3 linked regions of the Arabidopsis thaliana genome follow. The protein of the gene in region 2 interacts with the protein of the main gene of each other region in a pairwise test. Each region holds a gene or a part of one and is shown on either strand. Other genes may lie near its edges.

What was found. The genes of interacting proteins can lie anywhere in the genome.
Region 1: the proteins of AT3G21690 (region 2) and AT1G68220 interact in a protein complementation assay, tested with the Arabidopsis thaliana proteins (one large-scale study listed by BioGRID).
Region 3: the proteins of AT3G21690 (region 2) and EIR1 interact in a protein complementation assay, tested with the Arabidopsis thaliana proteins (one large-scale study listed by BioGRID).

What each region holds. Positions count from the first base shown.
Region 1 is NC_003070.9:25,568,315-25,572,248, reverse strand, and holds AT1G68220 (aerobic coproporphyrinogen-III oxidase (DUF1218)), read right to left. Parts: upstream 2,158-3,934; 5' UTR 1,928-2,157; coding exon 1,835-1,927; intron 1,754-1,834; coding exon 1,545-1,753; intron 991-1,544; coding exon 687-990; 3' UTR 516-686; downstream 1-515. Other genes in the region: AT1G68230 (Reticulon family protein), read right to left, coding at 1-64; APRR6 (pseudo-response regulator 6), read right to left, coding at 2,947-3,934.
Region 2 is NC_003074.8:7,636,771-7,642,914, forward strand, and holds AT3G21690 (MATE efflux family protein), read left to right. Parts: upstream 1-1,813; 5' UTR 1,814-1,979; coding exon 1,980-2,300; intron 2,301-2,424; coding exon 2,425-3,056; intron 3,057-4,023; coding exon 4,024-4,080; intron 4,081-4,302; coding exon 4,303-4,541; intron 4,542-4,635; coding exon 4,636-4,754; intron 4,755-4,847; coding exon 4,848-4,934; intron 4,935-5,025; coding exon 5,026-5,091; 3' UTR 5,092-5,619; downstream 5,620-6,144.
Region 3 is NC_003076.8:23,098,576-23,105,743, reverse strand, and holds EIR1 (Auxin efflux carrier family protein), read right to left. Parts: upstream 5,229-7,168; 5' UTR 4,980-5,228; coding exon 4,710-4,979; exon of another isoform or gene 4,559-4,709; intron 4,462-4,558; coding exon 4,159-4,461; intron 3,779-4,158; coding exon 3,334-3,778; intron 2,937-3,333; coding exon 2,667-2,936; intron 2,369-2,666; coding exon 2,101-2,368; intron 2,014-2,100; coding exon 1,928-2,013; intron 1,853-1,927; coding exon 1,695-1,852; intron 1,572-1,694; coding exon 1,495-1,571; intron 1,355-1,494; coding exon 1,288-1,354; 3' UTR 516-1,287; downstream 1-515. Other genes in the region: AT5G57080 (uncharacterized protein), read right to left, coding at 6,376-6,438, 6,660-6,785. UniProt on the Arabidopsis thaliana protein: Acts as a component of the auxin efflux carrier. Seems to be involved in the root-specific auxin transport, and mediates the root gravitropism. Its particular localization suggests a role in the translocation of auxin towards the elongation zone.

The DNA of each region.
Region 1 (3,934 bases), on a different chromosome or scaffold from region 2:
AAGATCTTCGTCGTCTCGATGAAGAAGCTCTATGTTCATCCATTTCATATCCAAAAACCGCCATTTTGTTTTGGTTTCAGGTTTTGAAACAACTGTGGCCTTTTTTGTGAGCTAAGGTCTAAGATTCATGGTTTATTATATAGTTCCGAACTTTTAGGATAAGAACGGTTTTGTTCTTGGATTCATAAAGAAGAAAGCGATTTGAGAAAAAACAGGAAAGGTATGGCTTTAGCATATTGCAAAAACTCATCATTTTATTGCTACATGAATAAATTAGTTTTATATCTTGTAGAGAATCTTTCTTAACTTGAGTTAATGATCAAAAATGTATTCCAAAAAGTTATCAACATTTTGATCATAGCTAAACCCTTTCCCATGCAAGTATATTCCAAGTTGAGGCTAGATATGTTAGGAATGCAATCATTGGGCCTCTTCGTAGGCCCAGTCCATTATGTGCCCATATTGTTTTCATGTCTAAACTTTTAGCAGATGATAACAATCTAGATGAGGTCAAGTGGGAAGCTAAGATGATGACTGAGCCAAACCAAATTTCTCATAGACATACATAAGCCAACATTATATCTGACGACACAAGTTTATATTGACAATTAACAAACAACTATTTTTTTTATAGTTTTACCCTGTTTTTAAAAGCATAGCCAACATAAGACCAAACAGAAACTGGTTTAGACCTTGTTAAACTCGGTGTTTTGTTGCTTTGGAGCATCTGAAGGAGTGGTCATACCAATGTTAATGCCATCGTTCTGATGCTTCTCCCATCCGCCAGTATCAGCCTTAGAATGAGCCAAGTAGTAAAGAATGGTTGCAATCAAAGACATGAGAGTGAAAGCAGCTCCAGCAGCAAAGACTCCAACGGGTAAGACGGCACACGAAAGCTCTTTCCCTTTGTAAATGCCTTCACTTTTAGTGTGGTACGCGTTCCTCGCTGATCCACCCAACAAGCACGCCTCAGCTCCTAAAAAGCTTACCCTAAAGATACACAAAACCAATGACTAAGACAAACGTACTCAAACATAGAGATGAACTAACTAGTTCTTATTCTTGTAAGGTCGTTTCTTTTCTTATAGAATCCACATAGTTTGGTAAGATAACAAACTGTAAAACCAAACATATAGAATATTCAATTGTGACCATGACGAAGCCTACCACTATCATTGTCTTTAGATAGAGACATCCACAACTCACAAGTAAGAGTTAAGGACGTAAATAAGAAGTCAAGTTTGCAACAAAGTGACTTATTAATCATAAATCACATAACCAAATTTCAATACCCACTAATCTAAAAGTGTTTACTTTTCATGTTCACAATACTGAAAAGAGTTGGAAAAAACTTTCCTTTTCACTTCAAAGTTAAAACCCATAAATATACACAATCAAATCACAAATTAGTTCATTCCAAATCTAACTTAAAAGCCCCTAATCAGAAATTTCAAATTTTGGTTACCAAATACCACTTAAATCAACTCAATTTCAAATCTTGATGTACAAAAGATTCAATTAGAGAGTAAAGGAATAAACTTTACCAAGAAACAACGAAGAAGACAATAGCCCAGACAGTGTAAGAAGTACCAGTAACAAGACCCTTTCCAAAACAGAGACACTTAGTAACACCGTTAACCACCGCTTGGCTAACAAGAAGCAACCCAAACGCCGACATACCGTACACTGTCGACGCCTCAGTTCCGTACTTACAAATAGTCTTCTCATCGTACTGATCCGGAACCGGCACAGCCTGAATAAACAAGAAAACACGAATTCACAACACAAATCGGAAAAATGACAAATTTTAGTAAGAGAGAGATAAATTGGGTACGGTGCTACGGCGACGCTCGGCACCGAAGGCGAAGACGAAAGCAAGGAGGTGAAGAGCAGTGACGACGGTGAGGATTGAAACTGAAACCGCCATTGATTTGGTTTTCGTGCTTCTTTCTCTCTTTACTCTTTTGTCTTTTATCTTCAGAGAGCTTTGGGCAAGTGAAGAAACGTTAAAGTGTCCTTATAACACTGATATTTGTTTTCTCTTTTTCTCTTTTTTTAGAATTTTGAACACTAATATTTATGACTTAATTGTCAAAGTGTCTCCATCTAATCATTATATCTGGTTACTCTTTTTTTATTTTTTGGATGTGGTTTACAAATGTTTAGTGGAGAAATTTTGAGAGATATTTGATTAAGAGTAAGTAATTAAATGGGTATATTTATACATATTGTAGCTTTAAGTGGTAGCACAACCACCAGCTCAAGCATCAGAACAACAAGAAATCGACTTTGCACGCTCCATCCTTTGCCTTCAAACCCCGAAATCATGATTAGATTTAGAAACATAGTTGGAAGACGACCTTGCTAAAAATCAAAGACTCAGTAATTTGTCATTAAATTACTACGACGTAACAAAAAATAATATGATGTCAATTGAGACAAAACATATCTTTTAATTTTAGAGAGCACATGAAGTCATGCCAATGCTTCTTTGACAGATATGATGCCTTGTTCGTGGTTATCTATAGTAAATAATATTTGTTGACAAAAATATATTTCAATGATAATAGTTATAATGACAATTGACTATAATTTTGGAAGTAAAGTAGTAAACTATTATTTAAAAAAAATAAAAAATTAGATTTAGGATCAATACTAGAGCATCTACTACTTGGTCATAAGTTTTATTAGAACTGATTTTAATAGAAATACTAACTTTGGTCAAATTAAAAGTGTTTGACTACATTTTAATTAAAGACTGAGAAACAAATTAACAAAAAAAGAAAACTTATGGTACGATTAAGAACCTGAAAAACTTTTAGAATCTCATACATATTGTTTATGATTAACATACATCTATATTTATGATATGAATATGCATTATACAAAAACATATTAAATTTATAAACTACTTTTAATCTTGTTGTTCTCCTTTTTCACCATTATTCATACATCTTTATTCATCTCTTCGTTAATCCAATCCATGCATTCACGATAATCATCAAAGTTATCGTCTATCTTCATATCATCACTTTGATTCACAGATTCTATATTATGATATTCGCATGACTCCATCATATTATTTTCCTCAGAAAAACCATTGTCTTCTAACCAAGAGAATATATCCTTCTCATTGGCATCAATGTCAAAAGAAATCAGATCTTCAATCGAAATATCGTAAAGAGCATCGTTCATCTCTTCCATATTGGTTTCCAAAGGAACCATATTATCCAAAGCATCGTAACTTGTTTCACAAGAAACCAAACTCTTTTGGATGGTATTGGTTTCGAGTGAAGTTATATCTTCAGGGAAAACCCAATCTAACGGATTTGAATAATTGGTTTCTAGAATGGCCATATTAGTTTTGGGAGGGATTTCACTATGTATTTCACAAGAAACAAAGCCCACATTATTTGTATTAGTTTCTTCTTGAGGGGGAATACTTCCTCCAGAATAACCCATGCCCATATGGTTTATATCTACTTCAGAGGGAATCATATTTTCAAAAGGAACATAACCTACTTGTGAAGAAACCCAACCTATCTCGTTTGTATGTTTTTCAGGAAAATTTATGTTCATGTTGGTTTCAGGAAGAACGTAATTTGCTGTTGAAGGATCCCAATCCATATGGTTCATATTGATATCATGGTGACTAAGGTTTTCTATAAATGAAACCCAATCCATCTTGTCTATATCGGTATCCAAAAGGTTCATGGTAGGGTTTGGAAGAAATCTATTGTTTTCCTTCATAAGGCACTCATCTACTAGAGGATCGAAAGAATCTAGTATAGAAGTAAAATCTAAATCTATTTGGTTTACATCAGTTTCAAGGATGGATCTATGTGGGTGACATTGATTAGGATCATACTGCGGAATAGAAATCCTTTCGGATTCCATCTGAGATGTGCATGTGTTAGATGCACCATCATTCGAT
Region 2 (6,144 bases):
AACTTTTTTGAGTTTTTCTCTCCTGACTGAATGGCTTTTTAAACTTTATAAACTCGTTCTAATTTGTCTTTTCCGTTTAAGGCTTTTTCGTACGTTTTGCAAATAGCTAAACTTTTGAAAGGAAAAAGTAACCTCGCGTTTTTCTCATTTATATTGCACAGAATATAGATACAAGTTGCAGCTATTACTGATAAAACGTAGCTACTTTTTTGGTTGGGTTTATTTGAGCCAAATAACTTCATTAAAAGCTGTAGTACCAAGTTTGGGTCTATCATTTACACTGCTATTGTCTTTGCTATATGACTCGAATCTGATACATTCGATTTCTAAAGATTATATCTAATTTTTAAGCGAATTAAACTTTTGCAAGCTTGGTTTTGATCTCTACTATTCTATTGACTAGAGAAGATGTCATAGTTGGGTGTAGAATAAGGTATTGAACTGACTTGCTTTTATTGATTCATTAACTATGGTATTTATACACAATGATCTCTATCAAGAGATAAACATAAATCCCTAAAATATAGGTTAGAAACTCTATCATCAAAGATATTGTACTAATCCTAATCGGATTACACATATCTCCAATAGAGTTGATATCTATTAACGGCAAAAGGAGCTAAGCTGCCATGATGACCCATGAAGTATATGCCTGCATGCTAATACGCAGAAAAACATTGAATGTGAAAGTGGCAATTATTCGAACACTCAAATTTTTTTATCTTCCTAAAATCGTGCTCGTGAAGATTTTTCAAAACAACCGATATAACCATTGGTGTTTAGTTGTTTACCTTTCTTTTTATTGCATACGATAGCCCATTCTTAGGAATTAAACCATGGGGGCAACTGGCAAGCATTTATAATCATTGATGTTACTTTAATTTTCATTTAATATGAATATTAAACGTAGTAGCTATATCATTGGGTTGGAATTAATGACTGAGAAAGAATGAATGAAAGAGAGAAACGTGTACTCGCAGTAGACCATATAACCATTGGTGAACAATTTTATTTGGAATCGTATCCATAAATATCATTTTTATACTAGTACGCTTGCTTTTACGACTACTATACCTTGTGTGGGCGGACCAACAATTTAAGAAGGGGGTGTGGGTGTAACTGGCCCGGTAAACCATAATTTTGTTTTGGCCATGTACAAAATGAGTTTTTGGCATACGGTGTTTTGTTGTATTTGAAGATCCCACTCAATATCATTTTTTTTTCCCCAATTTGATTAATCATTTGCTTTCTTGAAAGATTATTTTCCTTATAAGGATAAGAATAAACAGTTTCCTTTTTCATGGAACAAATTTTTCATGTTTCAAAGATATTTTCATTTTGTCTGAAGTATCAAAACAGTTTTACATTATTATTTGTCTTTTTCTGTTCAAAAAATTTAAGCAAATTAGTATATAATAAATAAACAGATTTGTGTATAGTATTGAAACCTATATCCATGAGCAAATGTGTGGTATATAAATTAGATAACAATTCTTTTTTGACATCATATAAATTAAATAACATTGAATTTGAAATTAATCACATTTTTAAAATGTGATTGTACGTTATTTATTCTTTAAAATTATGAATACTAATTAACCAATATATGTCATCGAAATAACTCAAAATATTGTAAAGAAAACTATTTGCATTTTACATATAGATATCTTGTAAAGTTAATTACGATATCCATAGAAATGTTATACAATCTTTGACTAAAAACGAAAGAAAGAATTCTAATAATTAATAACCTTTGGTGTTTTTAATGAGAGACGTGGACTCTCTCGGTAGAAATAATACAATGATTAACATACAAATTTGTAACTATCATTAGCCGTCACTCGCCACCCTCGATAGGACCTATATACACTTATACACAACACTAGCCACACACATCCTCAAGCGATAACACCACAAACAAAACAACAAACCAAAAAAAAAAAAAAGAGAGAGAGAGAGAGCAAATCTCCATCATCATCATGGACTCGTCTCCAAACGACGGCGTACACCAACCGCTTCTCCATCCTCAACCATCTCCATCTCCGCCGGAGTCAACCAACGGCGAGCTAGAAACTGTCCTCTCCGACGTAGAAACTCCTCTGTTTCTCCGCCTACGTAAAGCCACCATAATCGAATCAAAGCTTCTCTTTAACCTCGCTGCACCAGCCGTCATCGTCTACATGATTAACTACCTCATGTCCATGTCTACTCAAATCTTCTCCGGCCATCTCGGTAACCTCGAACTCGCCGCCGCTTCTCTTGGTAACACCGGTATTCAAGTCTTCGCTTACGGTCTCATGGTAACAACCAAAAACTCCTCTTCTTGTATATATTTTTTGTATGAATGTTACGTTTTATATCATTTTCGTCTATATGCTATGTTTTTTTTCACATCTTTAAAATTCGAGTTTTTTTCGATGATAGCTAGGCATGGGGAGTGCAGTGGAGACGTTATGTGGTCAAGCGTACGGTGGTAGAAAATACGAGATGCTTGGAGTTTATCTCCAAAGATCAACCGTATTACTAACACTCACCGGCCTCCTCCTTACTTTAATCTACGTTTTCTCCGAACCAATCCTTCTCTTCCTCGGTGAATCTCCCGCAATCGCTTCGGCCGCATCGCTCTTCGTCTACGGTCTTATCCCTCAAATCTTTGCCTACGCAGCGAACTTTCCAATACAAAAATTTCTCCAATCACAAAGCATAGTAGCTCCAAGTGCTTATATCTCAACGGCTACGCTCTTTGTTCACCTTCTTTTAAGTTGGCTCGCGGTTTACAAGCTTGGTATGGGACTTCTTGGTGCGTCGCTTGTGCTTAGCTTGTCGTGGTGGATTATAGTCGTGGCTCAGTTTGTTTATATTGTGACGAGTGAGAGGTGTCGTGAGACGTGGAGAGGTTTTAGTGTTCAAGCTTTCTCGGGTTTGTGGAGTTTCTTTAAACTCTCCGCCGCTTCTGCCGTGATGCTTTGCCTTGAGACTTGGTATTTTCAGATTCTCGTTCTTCTTGCCGGACTTCTCGAGAATCCTGAACTTGCTCTTGATTCACTCTCTATTTGGTAAGTCCTATTTTTAGTCAAACTCAATTTAATTATTTCCTTTAAAATTTATTTTTACTAGTTAATTTCGTTTACTAAATTAATTTCACCTATTGACCATAAAAAATAATAATTTAAGTTTATCTATTCTAGTGTTTTTGCCTCTTTGGTTTCCATTTTACCTATTCTAGTCTAATTTGTCTTCCACATGATATTTTATTTATGTTTTATCATAGGTAGTAGTTATTGGTTTCTACAAGAAAACACTTTTTTATATATCCTGAAACTCCACGTGAATATGTATGATTATAGACTTTTCCATGAATTTTTCTAGTAATGATTCGACAAAACTTTTAGTATTATTATTATTCGATATGAAAAGCATAGAACAAAACTTTTTGTAGGGAGTACAAAGCAAAGTTTGGTTGTAGATACTAGATATGAAAGTTAAGTTAATGGCGAACAAATTTGACACTTCTTCCGCTACAGACAATCTATGGTCACATCACATTTCTTCTTTTCAGTCTTCTCGTTTTGGTTTTCTTTGGAATTTGTTTTTGTCTTCTTCTTAAGCAGTAGAATTTAACTTTAACAATTTCTGTATGACCATATGAAACTATCTCATATGGAATCGAATAAAACATTATTTCTTCGTCCAATCTGCATCTACTTCTTTATTTTGTCGAAGATATTATACAATATTCTTCTAGTACTAATTAGTTTAAGATTTATCTGAGTCGTAAGTACTAGATTTTTTAGGTTTTCCAAAAGTTCTCTTTCCTCTGTTACCAAACAGAAGCAGCCACCAAATTTAGGTAGTTGCCCCAAATCAGTATGGAATTCCCATCTTTATAATATGATATCTTTGATTTTCATGTCAAGTCAAAAGTTACAATTTTAAAATGTTGTAAAAACATTACAAGCAACAATGGTTTCATACTAGCTTTTGATAGTGTACGATATTAAATTATTTGTTTTTGTGTTACAGCATGACGATTTCAGGGTGGGTGTTCATGATATCTGTTGGATTCAATGCAGCGATAAGGTCTGTTTTGTCCCAACTCACCACTTGCATGATCGTTTTCACTAAATTTAAATCATATAAAATAGAAAACGTCTCTATCCAATTTACCTACCCCCATAAAAATATGTGGATTCTTACATTTTACACACTTAAATAATGCTAAATCATACTGAACCATAAGCTCTTTTTCTCCTATTAAATCTGATGAAGTGTGACAAAAATTGTGTTATGATGTTGATACAGTGTAAGAGTGAGCAATGAACTTGGAGCTGGGAACCCTAAATCAGCAGCTTTTTCTGTGATCATCGTTAACATTTATTCGTTAATCACTTGTGTGATCCTAGCCATTGTTATTTTAGCGTGCCGCGATGTTTTAAGCTATGCTTTCACTGAGGGTAAAGAAGTCTCGGACGCTGTTTCTGATCTCTGTCCGCTTCTTGCCGTAACACTTGTCCTTAACGGAATCCAACCTGTCCTCTCTGGTAAACCCTTCTGATCGATACACCGCAATTTCGCAAACCGAATAAGCGAAGATTTTTTTTTTTTTTTTGAACAATTGGGAAAATTTTATTATAGGTGTGGCGGTTGGATGCGGTTGGCAAACGTTTGTGGCGAAGGTTAACGTTGGATGTTACTACATTATTGGAATTCCTCTTGGGGCTCTCTTTGGGTTTTACTTTAACTTCGGTGCCAAGGCAAGATAGTTTTCTTAACTTTCATTTTAATTAGTTACCATTATTCTTGTATTGAATATTAGAATAACAAATTTAAGGCTAATGATGCTATAGGGTATATGGACGGGGATGATCGGTGGTACGGTTATACAAACGTTTATTTTGGCGTGGGTCACGTTTAGAACAGATTGGACAAAAGAAGTAAGTTTGCTAAACTTTAAGCTGCCCTGTAGGCGCTAAGTGTTTACGTAAATATTTTCATTGATTTGATAGTTATTTTAATTTGTTTCAGGTGGAAGAAGCTTCCAAAAGGTTGGACAAATGGAGCAACAAGAAACAAGAAGTTGTTCCTGAATGATGCAGGTTGATGAAAGTTTGGTATCCAAGGAACCGATTAGATTCATCGGTAAACCGATGCAAATGCTCAAAGTAACATGTGAGCTGGTAAAAAAGGATATGGATCAACCTTTTAAACTTCTACAACTCAATTTTAAGTTTTTTGTGTTCTTGTTTAAAATGTTAGAGGTAGGTTATGTATTTTTGTATGCCAAGATTATAATAGTTACTGCGTTATTTTTTATTGATTTATATATATATGCATGTCTTTGATTGGATAGATCTTAGTTATTTTTGTTACTGAGTTTTTCTTTAGTTTAATGATATTTTGTTAGACTGGAATGCAATTAAAGTTTCTCTCTTTCAGTATGATGCATTTTTGTTGTTGTTGAGAATGTGAAGGAAAATAAGAACTGGACTTCCAACAAAATGGGCAGGGTGATCTATGGGCCTAATATATGGGCCTAAGTAAACTGAAATTACTATACATAAAACAAAGTTTTCACATCATAAAATCAGTCCAGCTCATTTGCGTTGAGGACTTGAGGCACAGAGAAAATTTGGAGTTTTTTTTTGTCAAAGGAGAAATTTTGGAGTTGATGATTCGATATCTGACATAGTTATAAATGTGTATTATCTTGCTCTAACTTTGCTTTAGTTAGTGGCAAAATTTTGATGTAAACAAAAGTAAAATAATCGCCTACTTAACGCATCTATGACATTTTAATATAAGCACTATTTTCATTCGTGTTTAATAAAAAATAACGAAAACGATTGTAAGAACTTCTAAATATTCTTATAAACTACTAGACGAGATGTTATATTTGTTCCATAAAGTTAGAGAAAGGAGCGATTAAATTTCCGTTACACTTGATGTAAACACGTTTTTTCGAATAAATTTTACATTTTATTCAAAAAAAAGAAAAAAAAAAAAGTAAAGAAGAAAAATTCTTGATACTTTTTCTTTTCATTATTCTCATTATAAACCATACAACGAAAAAGGATATAAATAGTAAATACTTGGCCAAGCCAATAATGGCCGTCACGTTGTATCTGTGCCATTTTCTGTCTACAC
Region 3 (7,168 bases), on a different chromosome or scaffold from region 2:
AAATACTTTTACCCTTAGTATACATATGCTATTTCTCTTACGCACTTCATTGAATAATAAATATTTTTACGTGTAAACTATTAAAAGATCTATTGTCAGATAAGTCAGAGGTCAGGACAACTATATAGAGAAGAATTGTTATTGAATTTCTCATGTGTTGTTGTTCGTTCAATTACGTTCCGACCAAAGAGCGAGTTCCAACGTATATCTCATCGTTTTGATACCCCACGTGATCGTTTTCACGTTACACAGTCAACGCCTCCAGAGCCAAGCCATCTTTTCTAGTACATTACATTTACATACTTAAATTCAAGCGCCGATCACCGATACGTTTTGAGGAGCTCATAATTAATCAAACGCAAGGAAAAAGAAGAAAAATAATTTCTATTTCATAAAAACTTTGGACAGTTTGGTTGAAAAGTTTGATCACTCGTTAAGATATTCACACATGTTAGATATGCACAATTTGTCTATAACGCAAAACTTATCATCAGCAACTATCTTACTACACAATCAATTGTCTAGACTAGTGCTTTCATTTGAAATGTTTCTTTCTCCACGCAAATTCTTTGTATCACTCCAAAAATAGTCCGAGTGATATCTTATTGGTGACAGATAAGTATATACTAAAATAAAGGAAAATTAAATTCTATTATAAGTTTGATTGTTCTTTACTCATCGAATTAAAATGCGACTACCTTCAAGCTTCAACCGAATATTACGTTCATAATTTTTTAACAAAAAAAATAACGTTCATAATTAACTTTACATACAAACAAAAACATAAATATATAAGACAAAAGAAATGAAATAAAAAGGTTATATGTGGAAGTATTAGTGCATTTGATCCAAAACAAAATAAAGAATTGTATGGAGATTTAGAAAAGCACAAGATCTAATCTAAACAGACTGCGCGATCTAGTAATACTTGACTAGTATATGATGAAATATTAGTGTAATTTAATAACATGCTTCACGACCATCGATAAATAGAAAAAACTAATCAATAGTAAATAATTGTACTTGCACATCCCAAAAATTTAATAAATGTAACAAAAACTACAAAGTCACGTACATGCATGTGCATATAATTAATTATACAAAGTTATCTAAATTTTCGACTATCATATGCTATAATTTAATTAATGCGACATTGCATGGTCCCATACACCTAAGCCTGACCTGGAATTAGTCTTTTTTCGTTCTTGTAATTATTCTTTTTCGTTTGAAAAAAAATCACCTTTGGGTCGTATCGCCTTTTATTTGCAAATACGTTTTGATAATAACTTAAAGCCCCAAAAGAACGTAGTAGAGTACTGTTACAGGCAAAGCAACCAGCATTCCGAATATAACCCTGAAAAATAATATCAAGTTTTTAGCTTAGGAGATCTCTGTAACTTTGTATAGTTTGAATACCAAATTAATATCTTATATATAGTATTAAAATGAAGTTTAAGAATGAAAATTAAATATTTTATAACTTAAATAACTTACGCAGTGCTGAGAATATCAGGATGGACGTTATATTCTTTGGCGAAAACAAAAGGAACGATTCCTTGAGGAAGAGCAGCCTTCAAAACATACAATTATATATATTCTTATCAATTATATTTTTCAAAGAAACCCAACATCACTAGCTAAAACATCAAACTGTAAGTTAGATTGAAATATATATAAGACTAAAGAGTAATCACCTGAACGATGGCGATATGGAGGAGATCACCTCGAATACCAATTGCTATTGAGGTGGCTGCGATCACGGCTGGTCCAGTCAAGAACCTTACGGCCATCGCAAACCCTGCTACTGATTTTCCGCACGCAATAATCTTTGGTTGCAATGCCATAAATAGACCTATATGTATCAATAATTAGCAAAAAAAAAAGCACCAAAGACTATAACTAAATATATATATGAAGGGAACTATACCAAGACTAAACATAGCCATTCCAAGACCAGCATCAGATAATATCGAAATCGATCCACTCATTATCGTTGGCATCTTTATATTCCACCTGTCCCATAAAATGATCAACAACATCAAGCAATTGCCCAAATATATTGTTATGTTATATGATTGTGACATTATTATTAGTACTTACTTGAAAGAGACAAGGGACCAAGCAAGGCCAAAGAGACTAGAGTAAGTGTTAGGGTTTCGAATGAGTTTTCTCCAAACCATTATCAGAATTAGTCTCGTCATCACACTCGCCGGCGGCATCTGCTGTTTCCTAGGACCGGGACCGCCGTCTTCCACGTCGCTACCTTTTTTGCCCATGTAAGGTGACTTTCCCCCGTTATTACCGTCTTGGTCCATTTCCACATGCCCTTTTCTTCCCGGTGACATGTTCTCTATCAGATTCTGCATCGCTGTCATCACCAAGTATGAATATAATTATAATTAAATATCACAGAAAATACTAAACTAAATTTATTATGACCTTTCTTCGACCAAAAAACTAACTTATAGAAAGCCGTACGGAACCAAATAAAAATCTACTTTAATTAGTTTAAAAGTTTTCATAAGTTTTGAAACTTTGAAAAAACTATAAAAAAAACTTAGAACCGATATTGAGCTTTATACATTTTTCCTAAAAGTTAAAAAAAAAATAGAAGCGTGGCAAGTAATGATAAAAAAAAATATGAAATAAGTTGGAGATTAATAAACCTTTAGTAGCGAGGTTGTCGTGAGGAGGAATAGAAACTTTAGGGTCGGTGGATACATCGGTGGAAGAACCTCTGGTCATAGCATTCTTCGCGTTGGCTTCCGACACCGGAGAAGCACTCGAACTCCACACGAACATGTTCATCTCCTTGTTTTGTCCTCCTACTCCTACTCCGCCACCGCTTCCTCCGCCACCACTTTCCTTTTTCTTGACTCCACTTGCTCCACTCGTTGACCCCGTGAACATTGGGTTCGGCGGTGGGTACGACGGAACTGACCATAAATTATAGAAAATTTTATTTTAAAACATTACATTATAATGAAAAAATCACATTTAAATTTCAAAATACAAAATTAATATTTTGTTTTCCAAAACTATAATCAGTTTAAAAACCTAAGAGTTTTGGAAGTGATATACTAAATTATTATTATTTTGTTAAAAGAAAAAAATAATTACGCAAAATTATTTGATGAACTCTTTACTTAACTTTTAAACCTTTTTAAACCTAATAATATCCCACTTATAATCACCGGTGACTGATGGAAAATAATAATAATATCTGAATCGATTCTTATATCTATTTAAATTTATAAAGAAGCAAAATATATTTTTTTAAAAAAATAAATAAAAAATAAATATATATATATATATATATTAAAAAATTCATACCACTATTATTGTTGTATAATTCCCCACTCATACTTCTGCCTCCTCTTCCTGCTTTCTTCGCCGTCTTCATAACTTCCTCATCAAAATTTGACGTTCTCGGCGTCACGCCTTTAGAAGACTGAAGTGAGTAAACATCTCCACCTGGACCAGCTCCAGCGCCGCCGTAGCTATTAGTGTAACCGTGACGAGGGCTTGGAGCTTTGCTTGCGTTAAACATTGCGTAGAAATCTGTCTGATTAAAGCTAGAAGCTCTCGGCGTCGGCTCTCGTGACGATTGAACGGAGTAAATCTCTACGCCGGTGAGATTTGAAGCTCGCGGCGTTATCATGGAGGAGTTAAGTCCTCCGCCGTGAGATTTGTTGAATGAAGAGATCATTGATGAGGCGGCACTTGATCTTCGAACCACCACGTGTAGCTTTCCGTCGTCTCCTATCTCCGCATCGGTCTAATGAAAGATAAATCCATATTTTTAGGTGATGAATTTCGAGTCGATGTGATTTAAACCGGATATAACCGAATCGGTACAAAAAGAATGAAAATTCAACTAGACTATAGTTAATAACTTGATATTTCTTATATTGTACTAATTATTAAATTCTGCGTGAATAATGTAACACGTCACTTTGAAGATTATTTTTGACTTCTGAAAAAGGAACTCAGACAAAACTCAAAATTTGTTATAGATTTACATAGGCAAAAAGGAATCCCAAAATGACATGTAGTCATGTCGTAACTAGTAACTACCCATTTTCTAGTTTACTTGAGTTAACCGGTCCGTTAATTTGAACAAACATATGAAAAAGGTCATCAGTGAAAAATTCATACCTGGAGGGGTTCACGGCCATTAAGAGAGATAACATCAGAGTCAACTCTGAAGGAAGTAATTGAACCAGCCGTCTCCGGGAACTGCTCGGAGATGAGAAGCTTAGCCCCACGGAACTCAAACAAGAAGAGCATTAATGTATACCATATGATGCTCTGAAGCACCACGATCTGCACCATTAGGTTACCGGAGAAGTCTCCGTACATCGCCCTAAGCAATGGGATTCCCATTACCAACGTGTTAGGCAGTGTTGATAGTGAAAAGAGCGTTATCATCCATTCTAGGCTTCCTCTGCGGCTAAACGCCTAAAAAATAATATCACAATATATACACAAACATGAGAATGTGTGTGTTTAGAGACACATATTACAAAAGAGCTAAAATGTTAACTAAAATATTTACCCGTGTTAAATGACATAGTTACTATACTATAAGCTTTCGATAACCAATATGTTTTCGAGTAAAAATTGACCATCATAGCAATTACTAGTAGACTACCATCACTTAATGAAGATAGATTATGTGCATAGAGAGATTATTGAAAGAGACGGGCCTGCCAAAGAAAGAGTGCGGCGAGGATAACGACTTTCTGAAGAGAATCAGCAGCGAGGAAGTGGTAATTCATTGCATAAGGATCATTGGAGGAGATGAAATGGAAAGAGAGAAGAGGAACCGCGAAAACCGCAACGAACCGGTTTATACCGGAACATTGGTCCGGTGTGAATATCCCCCACCACCGTACCGAACCATAGGCTAATATCATAGCAACGTATAGCGGCACCATAGCCGCTAAAACATCGTACATGTCTTTGCCGGTGATCATTTTGATTTACTTTTTCCGGCGAGAGAGAGAAGAAGAAGAAAAATAGAGATATAGATGAGTATATGTGGTGTGAAATAACGTATTTATGGACAAGGAAGTGAAGTTCCTTGAGACGATATTTAATTAATGTTGTTTGTGTTAAAATAATGGGATTCGTGTTCAAACATTGAATTATAGCTAAGCTTAGCTAGAGAGGATCGTTGGACATTTGAATATCAAATAAACAAAATATAAACCAAAATGCCTTTTTTCTTCCTCGGCATTTTGTGAATGGACAAATACTAATACAGTAATAATTTCAGTCTGAATCTTCTTTGGTCCATAATTTTTCGAAGTGCTCTAGATTTTTTCTTTTTTTCCGTTGATACTAGATATTCCTTCTATCTTTATTACTTCTGCAAAAAGCCGTTATATTTAATTTGAAGAATCTTATCTTGGGATAAGGAAGATTGGTTTACCTTCTGTCTCGTGGTCTAACATTATTTGTAAGTAAAATTAAATGCTTCAGAGATTATAAATTATAATTACACAAATGTTAGATTCAAAATATCTGTAGAGTCAGATACTTGGATCCACTTGTACGTGTAATACAAATTTGTAAATTTAGATTAGATTTTATATTAATAAGAAAACAAATTTGTAAATTTAGATTAGGTTTTATATTAATAAGAAAACAAAAACGATTTTTGTGTAAGCTATTGAGACGGCGAAGGTTGATGGACATGCACATGGTTTTTGCGAGCATCTTACTACACTTTCTGAGCGATCTGCGGTTCCCTGTAAACATCTGATTTTTAATCAGGAAAAATACAATTGTAATTAACTTATCTTTTAATCTTGAAACGGTGTATTTTTGTTTTTAAACGAAAATCTCTTAATGATTTATTATTAACTACAGTCAAAGACATTGGCAATTGGACCGATGAATAATTAGCCTCTCTTCCATATTTAATTGTCGTGTTTTCTTCATATTGCAATTGTTAACGTATTTATCACGCCACGTGATTGGGCGTTTGGGCCTAATGGACCTATGGATCTAACGATGGAGATACTAACTAGATTATCACTAAAATCTCTTTTGAAGTTCCAATATGTATCGAAGACATGGTTTTCCACAATCCGTAGCAAAGACTCCATCAATTCGTTGGTCTCTATGTCATCTACACGATCATCGCGATTTCTTATATCTCTTTAAAAAAAACGGTGAATTGACCAACAAGAAACCTAAAAAGAGTTTGTTCTTCTTTACATCTTCACAAGAGGAAGAAGAATAAAAGCCTTTAATAAGTGATCTCAGTTTTAAACTTTATCCATGTTTTTTTGTTAACTCATGAATTGAAAGAGAACAACCAAAGTGAATGTAGCCTGATAAAACAGGATGAAACTATTGAAAGATTCAAACTTTGTTTACAGAATCATCCTTCTTGGCCACTTCACTACTTTCCAACGGTGGTAAACTCTGCACAAAAGTAAAAAGCAATCAGATTACAAATCTCTCATGGGCAATTCATCGAACACCTTATGTGCATTACAATAAAAGAGAGATCACAGAGCCAGAGAACGAAATGAATGGTTTTAAACCGATCACGCTTATGGGCATTATCAAGAACGAAGAAAGTGAGCAAACCTAATACATTTGAGAACCCTAACATATGTACAGAAAGAGAAGGTGAAGCTTACGAGATCTGGTTTGTAGATGTTGTGGACAACGGAGGCTCCGGCGAGAAGGGAAGCAACGACGACGAGTGTTGACATTGCCAGAGACGGAGTTCCCGTCGGCAACTTTCCTTTATACGGTTTCTTCATCTTTGGCTCTGCTTTTTGACTGAGCGCGCGATATGAAGAGAAATTTGAAAAGCTTTTCGAAATTTTGAACCATCATCAACAAGTTTGCTTTTATAGCAAGTCGGCTTTTTATGATTTGAACGCGCAGCTCTCGCGCGTGAGTAACACGTCACCTCCCTGCCTGAATCTCATTATCTAAGGCCAAAGTTTTGAATTATATAATAAGGTCAAGCTACTCTAAAGAATTATGGAAATATCAAAACACTTTTTTGAGGATCGTTTATAAGCTTCAAGACCATCACTTGACAATCATGAGAGTTCAATACCTCAAACCTCATCAGATATGTCACATCATTCGGTACTGGTAATGATATCCTTGCAAAACATGAATTCAGTTGACATAT